Linked DNA regions of Elephas maximus indicus. The protein of the gene in region 1 purifies or fractionates together with the protein of each later gene. This does not show direct contact. Links are inferred from orthologs where the notes say so. Each region holds a gene or a part of one and is shown on either strand. Other genes may lie near its edges.

What was found.
Region 2: the proteins of NUAK2 (region 1) and PPP1R12A purify together in Homo sapiens (affinity purification with mass spectrometry; 3 studies listed by BioGRID and IntAct, counting the BioPlex papers as one, with this or other methods). This does not show direct contact. The link is inferred for Elephas maximus indicus from reciprocal best matches to the Homo sapiens genes NUAK2 and PPP1R12A.

The regions. Positions count from the first base shown.
Region 1 is NC_064836.1:14,801,769-14,809,983, reverse strand, and holds the start of NUAK2 (NUAK family SNF1-like kinase 2), read left to right. Parts: upstream 1-4,913; 5' UTR 4,914-5,014; coding exon 5,015-5,245; intron 5,246-5,860; exon of another isoform or gene 5,861-6,035; intron 6,036-8,215. UniProt on the Homo sapiens protein: Stress-activated kinase involved in tolerance to glucose starvation. Induces cell-cell detachment by increasing F-actin conversion to G-actin. Expression is induced by CD95 or TNF-alpha, via NF-kappa-B.
Region 2 is NC_064822.1:142,343,817-142,351,687, forward strand, and holds the start of PPP1R12A (protein phosphatase 1 regulatory subunit 12A), read right to left. Parts: upstream 3,184-7,871; 5' UTR 2,955-3,183; coding exon 2,718-2,954; intron 1-2,717. UniProt on the Homo sapiens protein: Key regulator of protein phosphatase 1C (PPP1C). Mediates binding to myosin. As part of the PPP1C complex, involved in dephosphorylation of PLK1. Capable of inhibiting HIF1AN-dependent suppression of HIF1A activity.

The DNA.
Region 1 (8,215 bases):
ACCCTGGGAGCAGTTTGGGGTCTGGCCTGCGAGGGGCGACCCCCTAAGTCCCAAACTTACAGGGTTTAGCTGTTGCTTTCCCCACTCAATTCCCATGCTTTCAGTCACTAACTCCCAAAATGCAGATAATTGTGGAATTAGGGTAGCCAGGAGAAAAAAAAAAAAAGGTACACACAGCCAAAATGCTCACTCTATTAGCTAAGCAGGGGCTTCTGGGTTCCTGGGTTTGACCCTGTATCCTAAGGCTGTCTACTGACAAGAGCCTGTCATGAGTCAGGGTCTACCAATGGGAGGCTGAGTGGGTGAGTGTCTGGGAGACTTATGTTTGGGCTTTGAAGCCATCTAAAGTCTAACAGAGTTCCAGACAGCGCCCTCTGAGAACAGGTCCCATGCTGGGCCTGCAGGTCACACCCACCTCAGGGGCGTCTGGCTGAATTTAGCCAAGGCGACAAGAACAACCCCCACGCCCACTCTTAAAAAAAAAAAAAAAAAACTCAGGCCTGGCTAATTCTTAGTCATCCCTCAAGACTCATCTTAGATGGCTCTCTTTCTAGAGACCTGCCTTGCCCCCACTCTCACCCCAAAGCGTGACCTGGATGCCTGCCACCTGTGTTCCCAACTGCGTTTCACGTCTCACCACAGTCCTTACTCTGCTGCCCTTTCACTAGCCTGGATTCCCCACCTCACACACACGGACTATGAGGACAGGGACAGACATGTGTTCCCAGTTTCCCCAGAGCAGCACATGGTGGCCGATGAGCAGTTTTCCCTGAGGGCCCTTCAGGCAGCGGGTGGCTGGTGAGGGGCACGTAGCCTTCCCCCTCCCTGGTCTAGACTGCGGCGGCCAGGTAGTACTGAACAGCTCAGCCCAGGCTCTCCACCCGTGACCAGGAATTCCCTGAGGTTGCCGGCAGCCTAGCCCCTGACTTAAGCAGATTCCCCAAAGGTACTCTGGATCAGGGATCAGAGACTGACAGGGTCTCCCCTTTGAGGAATTTGAGGGTTGAGTTTCTGCAGTTAAAATCATTTCCGAGTCACATGCAGTTCCAGCTGTATCTGTCTGTCTCCCTCCCTTCCCTGCCTGCCATGGACAGACAGCAGCCAGCCGAGGTGGCACGGAAGCCCTGACCACAGCCCCTCCTGGGCTGCTAAACTACACCATGGCTGAGAAAGAGGAGATCCCTTGTCTCTAAATGGGGATTCAGATTCTAGTCAAAGGAAGCTAGCGTGCGGGCGGGGAGTACCCTAGAGGTCTCAGGAGATCCACCCCCACTGCCACCCCCAGTTTAGCTGATGATGGAGGAAAACCGGTCTTCTGCAGGTGCTTTCATTTTAGCCTTTGGATTCCATGCTTATCCATTCCCTTCCTACATAAGCATCTACTGAGCACCTTTTATGTGCCTGGTAGTCCACAAAGAGTTTAGCACTAGACTAGTCACCCAAAGTTTGGTGGTTCGAATACACTCAGAGCAGAAGATAGACCTGGTGATCTGCTTCCAAAAGGTCACAGCCTTGAAAACCCTATGAAGCAGTTCTACTTTGCACACGTGGGCTCACCATGAGTCAGAATCAAATTCAACAGCAATTAACAACAATAACAAAGTGCGCAAGGTGTTGAGAACAGCTGGGGTCAAGATTAAACCTGAAAGGGAATCTTAGGTTCATCTGCATAATTCTTTCATCTTACTTATAAAGACATGTTGACTTTATCTGGCTAATTGCCATTTATCCTTCAGGTCTCAGCTCAAAAGACCCTGCCCAGGAAGATGTCCCTGACCAACCTCTTTCCGTTATACTCTCACACACTCCAAGGGCACTCCTGCTCTTGCTCCAGCATGGACACCTCTCCCTCTATATAGACTGTGCTTGTTTGTTTCTCGAGAGGCTGAGTGTTCTCTGAGGGCAGACACCCTGTCCACCTTGTCACCATTATAGCCCCAGGCCCAGAACTGGTGGGCACCAGTATTTGTAAAATGAATGAAGTGATTGTCAGAAGGCCACAGAATGGGTTAGTTTCAGAGTCAGGATTAGAACTCAAGGTTTCCCAACACTCAGTCCTGTTCTTGCTCATATGTCACCCATAGTTCGTCCTGAGAGTCCCAGTCCCTCTGGATGGCCCCAGTTAGCTGGGTCAGAAATATACACGGATCTTGAGTGGAAAAGTAAACAGCAGGTCAGGGAAGCTATCTCTTGGGCCTCATTTTACTTTCACAGTTAACCCAGAGAAAGAGAGAAGGCTGGTAGAGGGAAGAGTTAGACGGGCTACCACCTCCTGTGGCCCTCTGGATTTGAGAGGGCGATGGGGTGGCCGTTCCTGCATAAGGTGGGTCCTCTATGGCCACAAAACCATTCTCCATTCCTGACTCACGCTAGAAAGGACAGTAGAAGTAGGAATGTGGGCTGACACTGAATGCAAAATTCAGCCACTGAGCATTTAGTCCTTCTTGACCTTCAACTTGCCCTGATAGACAGCTGGAGACACCACCCTCTTGGGGGGTGGGGTTGGATAAGGGCTTCCCCCAGCACAGCTGGGACCCAGTCAGTGCTCTGAGTCACTTGCAGGAAGGGTATCCCTCAGGGAAAGGGATCAAGGCTAGCTGCCCTCCACTTCTCCCCACAGACCAGGCTCTGAATTCCAGCTCTACCACTTTCTTGCCAGTTGTGGGACCTTGGGCAGAGCTGTACCCACCTCAGAGGATTAGGTTGTTAGGAGGACTGAAGGGGAGATATTCCTTTCACCCATCTTGCCCCACATTTAAAGGGAAGACAGAAGCCTGTGGACGCTCTCATTTTACTCCTAGATGAGCTCTCGGAATGGGGATTCTGGACCCAGGCCTCAGAAACCAAGCCAAACTGATGTAAAAAAACATAACAGCAAATGTTGGTGAGGACGTATGGAGATTGGAACCCTTATCAATTGCTGGTGAGACTGTAAAATGGTACAATCACTATGGAAAATGGTGCACCACCACCTCAAAAAACTAGAAATAGGGCTACCTTATGATCCAGCAATCCCGCTCCTAGGGATATACCCTAGAGACGTAAAAGTAGTGACATGAACAGACATATGCACCCCTATGTTCGTTGCTTCATCACAATAGCAAAAAAAAAATGGGAACAACCTAAGTGCCTATCAGCAGAAGAATGGATAAGCAAATTGTGGTACATATATACGATGGAATACTACACAACTGTAAAGAACAATGATGCGTCCATGAAACACATTATAACATGGATGGATCTGGAGGGCATAATGCTGAGTGAAAGAAGTCAACCACACAAGGCCAAATATTATGTGATTCCTCTTTTATAAGAAGACAGAACAGATAAATTTAGAGAGGCCAGTATTCATTGGTGGTTACCAGGGAGAGGACAGGGATAGGGAAAGTACACTTTACCCCACAGGACTAGTTACTTCTGGTGATAGGAAAAGCAGCACTGAACGTGGGTGTTTTTACCAAAGTAAAAATAAGTGTTTGAGCACATACGAATGGGTATAGACACAATTAAGGGGAATGTGGACAAACTGTGATAAATGTAACTAATGTCAATGAACAATTTGTGTGGTAATTGTCAAATGGGAACCTAACTTGCTGTGTAAACTTTCACCAAAAAGTTGGTTTAAAATAATAAAAAAAAAAAAGGTCAATGGGATAGAAAATGATACTGGTTAAGAATGAGCTTCTTGGATCAAGTAGATGCACAAGACTATGTTGGCACCTCCTGTCTGGAGGGGAAATGAGAGGGCAGAGGGGGTCAGAAGCTGGTCGAATGGACAGGAAAAAAGAGAGTGGAGGGAAGGAGTGTGCTGTCTCATTGGGGGAGAGCAGTTAGGAGGATATAGCAAGGTGTTTGTAAGTTTTTGTATGAGAGACTGACTTGAGTTGTAAACTTTCACTGAAAGCACAATTTAAAAAAAACCAAAAAACAAGCCAGACTGGATGACCTAACACCAGTCCTTCCGGCTCCAGAATCGCGGAGACGAAAACCTTTGATGAAGAGGCAAGAACTTCCCCGATGGTATTCTGGGACCCAGTTATAATTCATCTCACTGAAGACAGGTCAACCCAGAACCCAGAATCGACGGCTCTCCCACTTGACTGGAGTTTGTCCCCACCCCCACCCCCACCCCATCACTCTCCCCTTTCTCCTTTGTGCACTTTCTTCTTTAAAGGAAAAATAGATTCCCTTTCTCCTTTATGGACTTAGAGAACGGTCGAGCGACTTTAAAGATTTTTGGCTTGGGAAAGCAAATGACTCGGGATGGAGAAACACTTTGGTGGCCTCTACTGCCATCAGATTGCCTGTTGCCTACCGAGAACACAATGGAACGGCAATAGGTGACTAGAACCAGGACTGAGCGCCCCCCAGAGGCAAGAGCAGTTCTAAATCAAATCAGATCCATCGCCTTTGAGTGGATTCCGACTCAAAGCGACTCTACAGGACAGAGTAGAACTGCCCCATAGGGTTTCCAAGGCTGTAAATCTTTAAGGAAACAGACTGCCACATCTTTCTCCAGCCAAGAGGCTGGTGCCTTGGAACCGCCGACCCTTCGGTTAGCAGCCCAGCGCTTTAACCGCTGCATCACCAGGGCTCCTCAGAGCAGTTCTAAGGGCCCTCAGAGTAAGGCTTCGGCCCTGAGCTGTACCAGCGCGCCCAGCAGCCTCCTCTCGCGTCCCGTTCTCCCCTTTCTCGTCGCTCCAAGAACCCCTAGGACCCGTGTGGGCGGGGCTCTGTTGACACCTCTCCCCGGCGCGCCGGGGGGGGCGGGGCCGAGGCCGGCGCGGGCCAGTGCGGGAGGCCCGGGTCGCGCTCCGCCGGCGAGCAGGCCAATGGGCGCCGGGGGGCGTGGCCAGGGCCGCCGGAGCCTTTATAAGCGGTTGGAGCGCGGCGCCTTTCAGCCCCGTCCGGAGCGACGGCGAGCTACTGGCCCGGCCTCGGGCTCCGCGTCCCGGCCTGTAGCCGTCCCCGCTCGGCCGCCTCCCCCGCCGCCCTCGCTGGCCTCCTGCTCGCCATGGAGTCCGTGGCTTTCCCCCGGCGCCCCGGGCCGGCTCCCTCGGCCGCAGAGCTCGCCCGGCCCCTGGCCCACGGGCTCGTCAAGTCGCCCAAGCCGCTGATGAGGAAGCAGGCGGTGAAGCGGCACCACCACAAGCACAACCTGCGGCACCGCTACGAGTTCCTGGAGACCCTGGGCAGGGGCACCTACGGGAAGGTGAAGAAGGCGCGGGAGAGCTCGGGGCGCTCGGTGAGTGCCCCTCCCTCGCGCGGCGCGCCGCGGGTTCGGGACTCCGCCGCGGGCCGGGAGCGGAGAAGGGAGGCTGGGGGCTCGGGCGGCGCTCGGGCAGTTGCCGGCGTTCAGCCTTGACCACGCCGGCCGGGGCCGGGGGCCGGGGGCCGGGGGCCGGGGGCCGGGGGCCGGGGGCCGGGGCCGGGGGCGGGGGCCGGGGCCGGGGGCGGGGGGGCCGGGGGCCGGGGGCCGGGGGCCGGGGCCGGGGGCCGGGGGCCGGGGCCGGGGGCCGGGGCCGGGGGCCGGGGCCGGGGCCGGGGGGCCGGGGGCCGGGGGGCCGGGGGCCGGGGGCCGGGGCCGGGGGCCGGGGCCGGGGCCGGGGCCGGGGGGCCGGGGGCCGGGGGCCGGGGGCCGGGGGCCGGGGCCGGGGGCCGGGGCCGGGGGCCGGGGCCGGGGGCCGGGGCCGGGGCCGGGGCCGGGGGCCGGGGGCCGGGGCCGGGGCCGGGGCCGGGGCCGGGGGCCGGGGGCCGGGGGCCGCGGGCCGCGGGCCGCGGGCCGCGGGCCGCGGGCCGCTGCACAGGGGTGGACCTAGGAGGCCAGCAGCCTTGGACCCGAGAAACCCACCACCACCAGGCAGCGTCGATGACAGCCGAACCGGCGAGGCCGACGGCTGGTGCGGGCGTAGAAGAGGGCTGGTGTCCTGGTTTGGGACGGAGAAGGCTTCCTGGGGAAGAGGTGACTTAAACTGAATGTTGCTTGGAACAGACTATCCAGTACAGAAAGAGGAAGTAGACGGCGCCTGACTTCAGTAAGGGTTTAATAAATACGTGTGTGGTTGAATAAATGAGTGAGGAATCCAACTCAGTTCTAAGAGCTTGCTGTGGAGATCTGCACGGGGTGGGTCTGCAGTGGAGCTGACACTTAGGTCCTTTCCAGCTCGAAGATCGAGGGAAGTTTCATGATGATGGGTTTTTATTCTGTTAAATGTGAAACCAGCCTCTGGTGCAAGGTCTGCTGTGTCCCATGATACCCTGGGTTTGGGGCCTTTTTGGAAACTTGTCCTATTATTTTGGTGTGGGAGGTGTTCGTGTGCGTGAGAGAGATAGTATATATATTATATACGTTATAACGTGACCTTTAGCATTTCACTTCCTCACTGTACTTCTCAGTTTCTTTCCCTTTCTACAAACATGGGGAAAACAGTCTCCCTCACAAGCTGCTTTGAGAATTGAACGAGATAAAAAGGTGAACTAAAGTGTTTGTGACCCAGAGAACCGGAGAAGTGAGACTTAAATCTGAATCTGGAAGGGCCAGCCCTGAAAGGTTGGTTAGCAGGGGCTCTCAAACTTAAGTGCATGGGAATCACCTAGCGATGCTTGTTTAAAATGTATGCTTTCTGGTCCCACATCCAGAGGATTTTATTCTGAAGGTCTAGCACAGGGCAGATATAATCTGAATTTTAACATTTAACATTTTAACCAGGGGGTCTAGGGGTTATAGTTCACCAAACCCAGTCCAGTTCTGGTTGTGAGGCGTGTGTGTGGCCATGGTTTGCCTTATTGGTTATGGCAGCGGTCGCCTCCCCAGATTGTGTTTGCTTTTGCAGCCGGTAGCTGGTTTGAAATTCAAGAAGTCATTTCATTGGTGAAGGAGAGTGGGTGTTGGAGAAAGGGAGTGGGTTGTGGCCCTATCAATAGGATCGAGTATGTTTTTCCTGCTAAGGCCTGGCACAGTCCCCAGCTGCCCGCTGCCAGGTTACAGCTATTGGGCAATCGTGTACTTCCTGGCATTTCTCTTTCTGTAAAGTGCAAGGACCGATGAGGCTCCAGGCATGAGACTGCTGGGCCCAGGCTGGGTTAGGGCTTAGCGGTAAAGTAGCTGCTTATGCCTTGTCCCTCCTTCCTCTTGTTGGGGGGAAGACTGAGTCGTGCAGACTGGGGTGGCCCAGAAACTGGGATTGGAGTTGTTGCACATGCCTGTGTGTGTGTATGTGGGTAGAGAAAAAGAGAGAGAGAGGTCTCATTTGATCCCAGAGTGAGATAAACCAGCTTTCAGTTTTCAAACCTCGGTGGCTCTAGGCAGGGATTCCAGCTTTTATTACATCAGAAAAGAGAGAATTAGAATTCAGAGGGTGCTCCCTGGGCTCTTGTCTCTAGCGTGCAGGGAGCCAAGGTCAGTCTAGCAGGCCCTGCTCTGAACCTCCCTGACCCATCAGTCCACCACCTGGTGGGAACTTGCTCAGGGTCTCCCTCCTTGTTGGACAGCAGCCGCCCTGCTGTGCCAGTGGTTTCTCTGCTGGAGAGCAATCCTGTTCTCCACCCCCATCCTGCCTCTGGACCCTCCCTGAAGAGAGAGACCTGGTGTCTCAGGACACTTCAGGAGTGTGGAGTTAGGCTCACAAGAGCAGTCCAGGACCTCTCCCAAAATGGGCTGAGACTGTTGGTGGAGGTTAGATTCAGAGGAAAGCCTGCTGAGCGACTCCCATCCCAATTTTCTGTCTACTTTCCTAACTCACATCCCATTCCCAACCTGCCTAGATGGGATCATCAGGGGCCAGATGGGATTGTTCAGAGGGAGGGGCAAGCAGGTGGGAGGGACTAATGCTGCTCCAGAAGGGCATCAAAGGAAAAACAAATATTTGCTCTGGATCTTCTGGTTGCCTGAGTACATTCCTGGCATCCAAATAACATTTCCTTCTGTGGCTCTCGCCTGCTTCTCTGACCTCCCCTTTCCCCCAAAGAGAAAAAACATACTGGGGCCCCTGGAATGGTGGAGTCCCCCAAGCCTTTGGGATGATATGCGTGGAATTCTTACCTTCCAAATGGGTACCATGAGGGAGGCCACGTGAGCAGCAGCTCTGGGGTAGGGGTGCTTTCTTTCTTATATATTGGATTGCTGCATGGATTTCAAAATGTTTGAAAACGACTGAGATGATTCAGCCCTCTCATTGACACAAAGGGAAACTGAGACCCAGAGAGGAGGTGTGAC
Region 2 (7,871 bases), on another chromosome or scaffold:
ACGAAATACCTTCTAATGAAAGAGCCTGTTCAACTATTTAATAAAGAAACCTTTAAATATAAGCTGTTTGTATTAAAAATGGAAGCAAAATACTAGATTAAGAAGTATATTTGTGGGTTGTGAAGTATCTGTAACATTTCTCCTAACAATGAAATTTAGGACACTCGATCAAAACAAAAAAGTAAATGAATATTCCAAATGAATAACTAATAATTAATCTCGTAAAAATATCTTAGGTATCTTAGATCTTTTGAGAAGTTAAATTATTCAAGGTCTACTAAAAAAAAAAAAAACAATGGATCCTTTTAGGTTTATAATTTAAGTTATTAAAACAAGTAGCATTCAGGAGGTTTCTTAAAAGCTTAGTTTTGTGTGTGTGTGTGTGTGGTTCTTTTTAAAAAAGTTATATTTATCACCTTTCATTATCTGCTGTCCTGAATTTGCCCAAAGTGAACTCCTTGTTCTCACAGCCACAATGCAAAAAAAAAAGTATAAGAAGAGTTGATAAATGAGAAATACCAAGTGGAGAGAACGCAATAAAAATTTTAATGCTTCATATTTTAAAGACTTTTGCTTCACTGACTTAAGGAATGTGCAGATAAATTACAAAAAGATACTATGCAAATGGTTTATGTATAAACTTGGAAACTTCTACTTAAGTACTTGTCAACTAAAACAAATACTCAATAATACTCCACCTATATAATGCCAAACTAACCACTGAATTCATTAGTCAGGAAGAAATTAGTGTGGTAATTGTTGCAACATTGTACAAATGGGGGGGGGGAACAAGAGAATCTGAAAAGCCTGTTAAGTGCGCTTTCTCTTTCAGTACCTAAACCAGTATTAGATTAATGTATAAAAGATTCTCATCCTCCTTCAAGCCAATATATTTGGGTGTCTCTACAACAATAATAGGAAGTTTAAATTTCTATTTGACAATTTTAATAAGACATACTAATGTAAGAAATTATCCAATCACGCTGACCTCAGGGATAAAATAACAGCTTTATCTTTTAAAATTACACTTGAAACAAATTTGAAAAGATTCATCTTACATAATTACAATATCATTTGAATGCCACAAGTTTCTTTCATTTTCAAATGTCATGTTTTTAAAATCTAGAGTTATGCTGTGCCTTAAAATCAAGCAAGGCTAAAGAAAGTTTGCTATACCTTAAAGAATCTAAATTAATGGAACTGAGAAAAAGCTAAAGACCAAGCTATATCCTTACTGGGTACCACATTCTGATGTCAAGATTTTCCTGTTAATTTATCCATCATTTCAATTCATCCAGTCAACTCTGTAAACAAAGGCTATAAGCCAACTATGATATGAGAATTCAACTAAATAAAACTTAAAATAGTCATCATTCACTTCAACAGGAAGCAGTAAAAGGAAAAATGCTACCACACACCTCTCTTTTCAAAAGACAGCAAGCTAATATGCATGAAATATAAAGCCTTTAAGTTTCAACCTCCCAAACAAGTTTTTGCTACAGTATTACTCAAAATAAAGCTGCAATCTTCCCTTTACAGCCAAGCAACTTTGAAAGATTTCACAAATCTCTTCATTGTCAGAGGAAGCTATTGCTGTTAAGTCGTTTTCTAGTAATTACAAGTTGCCAACTAGGAAAATTCTAAGAGGCTATGTCTTGTTACCTACTACCATCATTTAAAAATTGCTTTTTATGCAGAACTCTACGTGGTCGTGTTGCTTTTGGCCTGTTAAAGGCAAAGCAACATTATCTCTGGATTGCCAATAGTTTCTCCTTATTTGGCTAACATTGAGAGATCCCAATCAGACCACTATAAAACTTTAACATGCACAAAGCATCCATTTTGCGGAAAGTTTGTGACCAGTTTTCCTTTTTCCCACTCCCAAAAGAAAAACCAGATCTTGGTAACCGGCTTTGAAAAGAATGCCCCATGTTTATTCTTCTCTTTCTAACTCCAGTGCACAGCCCAGGACCTGGGGCTCCAGGATCTGTGACACTGCAGCAAACTCACACCGAGTACTGGACCTCAGATAAGCGTTCCGGTCTGGAGATGGACAAGCACTTTTGAACGCTCACTTCCATTCCCTCCCTTTCAGCCGGTGCAGATCAGCTAATTACACCCCGTTTTCTCCTCCCCAGTAACCAAGAGTAATAAAAGAGAAAACAGGAAATCGTTCGCTCAGGGCACTCGGCTTAGAGCTCTTGATTACTATTATTACCATCATTTGTAATCAAGTCCTAAAAAGTACAACAAATCCAATGCCCACCTACAAGCCAAAGATGTCCATCTGCCCGAGAGTCCCTAATGTTCCTTGTAAGTAGTTCTCTTCAGCATCCCCGTCCCCCAAATAAATCCCTGACAGCGGGGCCCAGACACAACCCATTACACCCCTTCTCGTCTCGACCCCAAATCCCAGACACACGACTACAAACGGCCTTAGGGCCCCAAGCAGACCACAGTCCCTTTTCCCCTGTGCCCCGTCAACCAGCCGATTCCCAACTTTAATACCAACTGCTCTGAAGGGGGCCTCAAGCCCTGCGCCCTCCCTCCACCAGTTCTTTCCCTCCCTCCCTCGCGGGAAACCGCCCCCTCACCCCACAGCAGGGAGTCTCTCCCGCCGCCCCCAGCCTCAGGAGGCCCAGAGCGGAGGAGAGGCCCTGACTAAAGAACGGCGGAAACCCTCAGGGTCAGGAGAGCGCGCGGCGGGGTGCACAGACCTGGTGCAGAGCGGTAAGTCCGTCCACATTGGCGTAATTGATGTCGGCGCCGCGGTGCAGCAGCTTGAGGACCTCGTCCGTGTCGCCGCTTGAGCAAGCAGCCAGGAAGACGGCGCCATCGTCGAACTTCACCTTGGTCTTCTGACGCTTCACCACAGGAGGCTCGAGGTCCGTCTCGGAGCCGATCCAGCGCTTCAGCTGCTCGTTCCGCTTCTGCTTCGCGTCCGCCATCTTCATCCCCTCTCCTGCCGCCGGGTCTTCTTATCGCGAGGGGGGAAGGGGGAGGCGGAGAGGGAAGAGAGGGGAGGCAGGGGGTGTGTGACTGTTTCTATGAGGGCTGGCCAGAGGAGGGCTGGGAACCGGGAGGAAACGCTCGAGACTTCCAGTATCCCACAGAGCACTGGGGCGGCGCGCCCGGGCGAGCGGACCTCCCTTCCTACCACAGAAGCCCTCCCGCCCCCGGCCTGGCCACCCGTCACCGGCGGCCACTGTAACGTAACTTCGCGAGATCCGGGCAGGGAGGCGCCCTTCGGCCCGTGCGCATGCGCCCTGGGTCTGTGCCCGCCCCAGGAAGAAAGCTCCCGCGAACTGCGACGGGGGCGGCCCGGCCACCGGAGGGAAGCGGGTGTGGCTCGGGCCGCGGGGGCTGGGACCAACCTGAGAGGGAAGAAGGAGGAAAGGAAGGTTTCCCTGCCCCACTAAAGGCTCCCAGGGTCCCGAAGGCCAACAGTTGGCCTGCACAGCATTGCGGGGCAGACCTGCCTCCGAGGCTGTCTTGGCTCTGCGGAGTCGTTTGCTCAGCACGGAAGATTTTCCTATTGGCCTGCGTTATTTGAATGGAATGGGGGATAGTTCTTGTGTTAGGTGCATGTGGTTTCTCTTTCCAAGGAACTCTGGAAGAATTGGGCGTCTGACAACTGAACAGAACCTTTTTAAAGTTGGATCTGTGTAGCCAAGGACTTTGGACGTAGTTTCCCCAGATCGCAGCCGGAGATGACCGCCTAGTGCCCAGGGTTGGCCTGCGGTCATTGCAGTGGCTTCCTGCCAACACCCAAACGTCCGGCCAAACGTCTTTCCTCTCCTGCCTGGCTTTTTGTTTTTAACCTCCTTACGCTTATTTTGGGTCCTCTTTTCTCTCAGTGCTTTAAGCTGCCCAGTATTCCTCTTGAGCTCAGTTCGGCCTTGTTACTGGTCCTGACCTTTTAAGGGATTTCTGCTTCCTGCTCCCTCTTTTTCTAAAGACGTATCTACTTATGGGGTTCAAAAGAAATGTAAATAATAGCAACCATTTCAACCAGTATTTTTTTTAGGTGCCAAAGAGTCAGTTCCGACTCACAGCGACCCTATGTACGAAACACTGGCTGGTCCTGCTCCATTCTCACAGTCATTATGCTTGAGCCCATTGTTACAGCCATTATATCAATCCATCTTCTTGAGTGTCTTCCTCTTTTTCACTGACCCTCTACCTTAGCAAGCGTGATGTCCTTCTCCAGGGGACTGGTCGCTCCTGATAACATGTACAAAGTATGTGAGACAAGTCTCACCACCCTTCTAATATTTATTGAATACCTATAAGCCAGTCATGGTTCTAGACACTGCACGTATTAACAGTGAAGAGAACGACATGCTTATTTGAACCACCTCTTGAGGCCATCAAAAAAAAAAAAAAATCATAATGAAACACTAAATTTGCCTTGTTTGACTACTCATACTCAAAAAGGAGATACGTAACAAATACTAATATAAGCTCATCTATTTGCTACCGCCACCAACTGATGTTTTTCTAAACACCCCATTGTTTTCATGCAACTGGTTTTTTTTAGAGCGTTTACAAGTAAAATAAGAGAAGTCATAAAATACTACCATCGAAGGGAAATTTAGGGATTGTCTTGACTGAGTTGCCAAAGAACTAACTGATGTTTAATTTCACCCAAAAGCAGGATTAGGATTTATTCAACAAATATTATGCACCTGTTCTGGGTCAGGCATTGTTCTAGATGCTGGGGATACAGCAGTGAACAATTTAGCGTTGTTTACTCTCAGCATGATACCCTTTCCGGTAGACTACATTGTAGCTATCATATTGGAAACTAAAATAGACCAAAATCCGATTAGGAAACAATCTACCTATAAGACTGAATTTCCTGAACCACAAGTCCCAGCATAGAAATATAACCAAAATAAACCAAATCGGTTGCTGTCAAGTCGATTCAGACTCACAGTGACCCTGTGGGACAGAGTAGAACTGCCCTACAGAGTTTCCAAGGAGCAGCTGGTAGATTGGAAATGCCGACCTTCTGGTTAGCAGGCAAGCTCTTAACCCCTGCACAACCAGGGCTCCCAGGTTCAAAATGGAAACCAAACGCATTGCTGTCCAGTCCAATTTCAACTCATAGCAAGTAGAACTGCCGCATAGGGTTTCCAAGGCTGTGAATTTTTCCAGAAGCTGACTGCCAAATCTTTGTCCCACGGAGGAGGCTGGTGAGTCGCCTCTGATCTGTCATTTAGCAGCAGCCAAGTGCTTAACCACTGCACCACCAGGACTCCTCTAGCCCAGGTTGTTGTTATTGGCAGGTGCCATCAGAGGCAGTTCCCAATCTTAGCAACCCTTATGTACAACAGAAGGAAACACTGCTCAGTCCTACAGTCCTCACAGTCATTGCTATCTTTGAGCCCATTACTGCAGTCACTGTGTCAATCCATCTCATTAAGGTCTCCCTCTTTTTTGCTGACCCTCTACCAAGCATCATGTCCTTCTCCAGGGACTGGTCCCTCCTGAGAACATGTCCAAAGTATTTGAGACAAAGTCTTGCCATCGTTGCTTCTGAGGAGCATCCTGGCCTTACTCTTTCCAAGACAGATGCGTTTGTTCTCCTGGCAGTCCATGATATATTCAATATTTTTCACCAACACTGTAATTCAAAAGCATCAAATCTTCTTCAGTCTTCCTTATTCATTGTCCAGCTTTCACAGGCATATAAAGTGATTAAAAATACCCTGGCTTGGGTCAGGCACACCTTAGTCATCAAAGGACATCTTTAGAGGTCTTCTGCGGCAGATTTGCCCAATGCAATACGTCACTTGATTTTGTGACTGCTGCTTTCATGTGCATTGATTGTGGATCAAAGTAAAATGAAGCCCTTAACAACTTCAATATTTTCTCCATTTATCATGATGTTGCTCATTAGTGCAGCTGTGAGGATTATTGTTTTCTTCATGTTGAGGTGTAATCCTTACTGAAGGCTGTGTTCTTTGATCTTCATCAGTTAGTGCTTCACGTCCTCTTCATTTTCAGCAAGCAAGGTTGTGCCATCTGCATATTGCACATTGTTAATGAGTCTTCCTCCAATCTTCCTCCAAGCTTCTCAGATTATTTGCTCAGTGTACACATTGAGTAAGTATGGTAAAAGGATACAACCCTAACCTACACCTTTCTTGATTTTAGAACATGTATTATCCCTTGTTCTGTTCAAAGGACTGCCTCTCGGTCTATGTACAGGTTTCACATAGGCACGATTAAGTGTTCTGGAATTACCATTCTTCAGAATGTTATCCATAATTTGTTATGATCCCAGGTTAGGGATCCTGAAAATACTGTAGGAATAGAAGGTGAGGGTAAGAAGCGTAAAATACACCAATGATAATACCACATCTTGGAATAATGATGGAGTAAGGAGCTGAGAAACTCCAAATTAGCACTAAAATTCAAAAGACCTATTCACTTAAAAAACTCCAGAATACAGCTCTTACAGTGAAAGAAAGGAATTTGAGGATAGCCTTGTTAGCTTTTCTGTCTACCTAGAAAAACTGGCAGCTTATCCTTAGTGTTTTCCAAGAATGTTACGTGGCCTATTTGGTAGCTCATAAAAGTGCTCTGGAATACAGATCAGTAACTCCAGTCTTCATTTGGGCAAGAGGAGTTTCGTAGGAAGTTTGCTATTATTGAAGCAAGCATTTACTTCTGAATATAAAATTAATAAATAAACTAAAATAAGAATTAGTATATAAATAAAATATTAATGGTTAAGTCCACCACACGTCTGCAGTTTGTCATACCGTGGTGGCTTACGTGTTGCTGCGATACAAGGAACTTTACCACTGGTATTTCAAATATCAGTAGGGTCACCCTTGCTGAATAGGTTTCAGCAGAGCTTCTAGACTAAGACATACTGGAAGAAAGACCTCTCAGTTTACTTCTGAAAAAGTTGACCAGTAAAAACCTTATGAATAGCAGTGGAACCTTGTCTGATATAGTGGTAGAAGATGAGCCCCTCAAGTTAGAAGGCACTCAAAATACAACTGGGGAAGAGCACACTTGCCAAAGTAAAGTCGACCTTAATGACGTGGAGGGAGTCAAGCTTTCAGAACCTTCATTGGCTGATGTGGCACAAATCAAAATGAAAAGAAACAGCTACAAACATTGATTAATAATCAGAATGTGCAATGTATGATGTATGAACCTAGGAATATTGGAAATTGTCAAAAATGAAATAGAAGCATAAAGATCAATATCTTAGGCATTAGTGAGCTGAAATAGACTGGTACTGGCCATTTTGAATAAGACAATCGTATGGTCTATATGCCTGGAATGAGAAGTAGAAGAGGAATGGTGTCACGTTCACCATCAAAAAGAATATTTCAGGATCTATACTGAAGTACAACATTATCAGTGATGGGATAATATCCCTATGCCTACAAGGAAGGCCACTTAATATGACTATTATTCAAATTTATGCACCAACCATTAATGCCAAAGATGAGGAAATTAAAGATTTTTACCAATTTCTGCAGTCTGAAATTGATCAAAGATGCAATAAAAATGCATTGATAATTACTGGCGATTGGAATGCAAAAGTTGGAAACGAAGAATAAGGATGGGTAGTTGGACAATGTGGCCTTGGTGATAGAAATGACATCAGAGATCCCATGATGAAATTTTGCAAGACCACTGCAAATACCTTTTTTCAACAATGTAAACGGCAACTATACATATGGACCTCACCAGATGGAAAACACAGGAATCAAATTGACTACATCTGTGGAAAGAAATGATGGAAAAGCTCAATATCATCAGTTAGAATAAGGCCAGGGGCAGACTGTGGAACAGATTATGAATTGCTCATATGCAAGTTCAAGTTGAAGCTGAAAAAATTA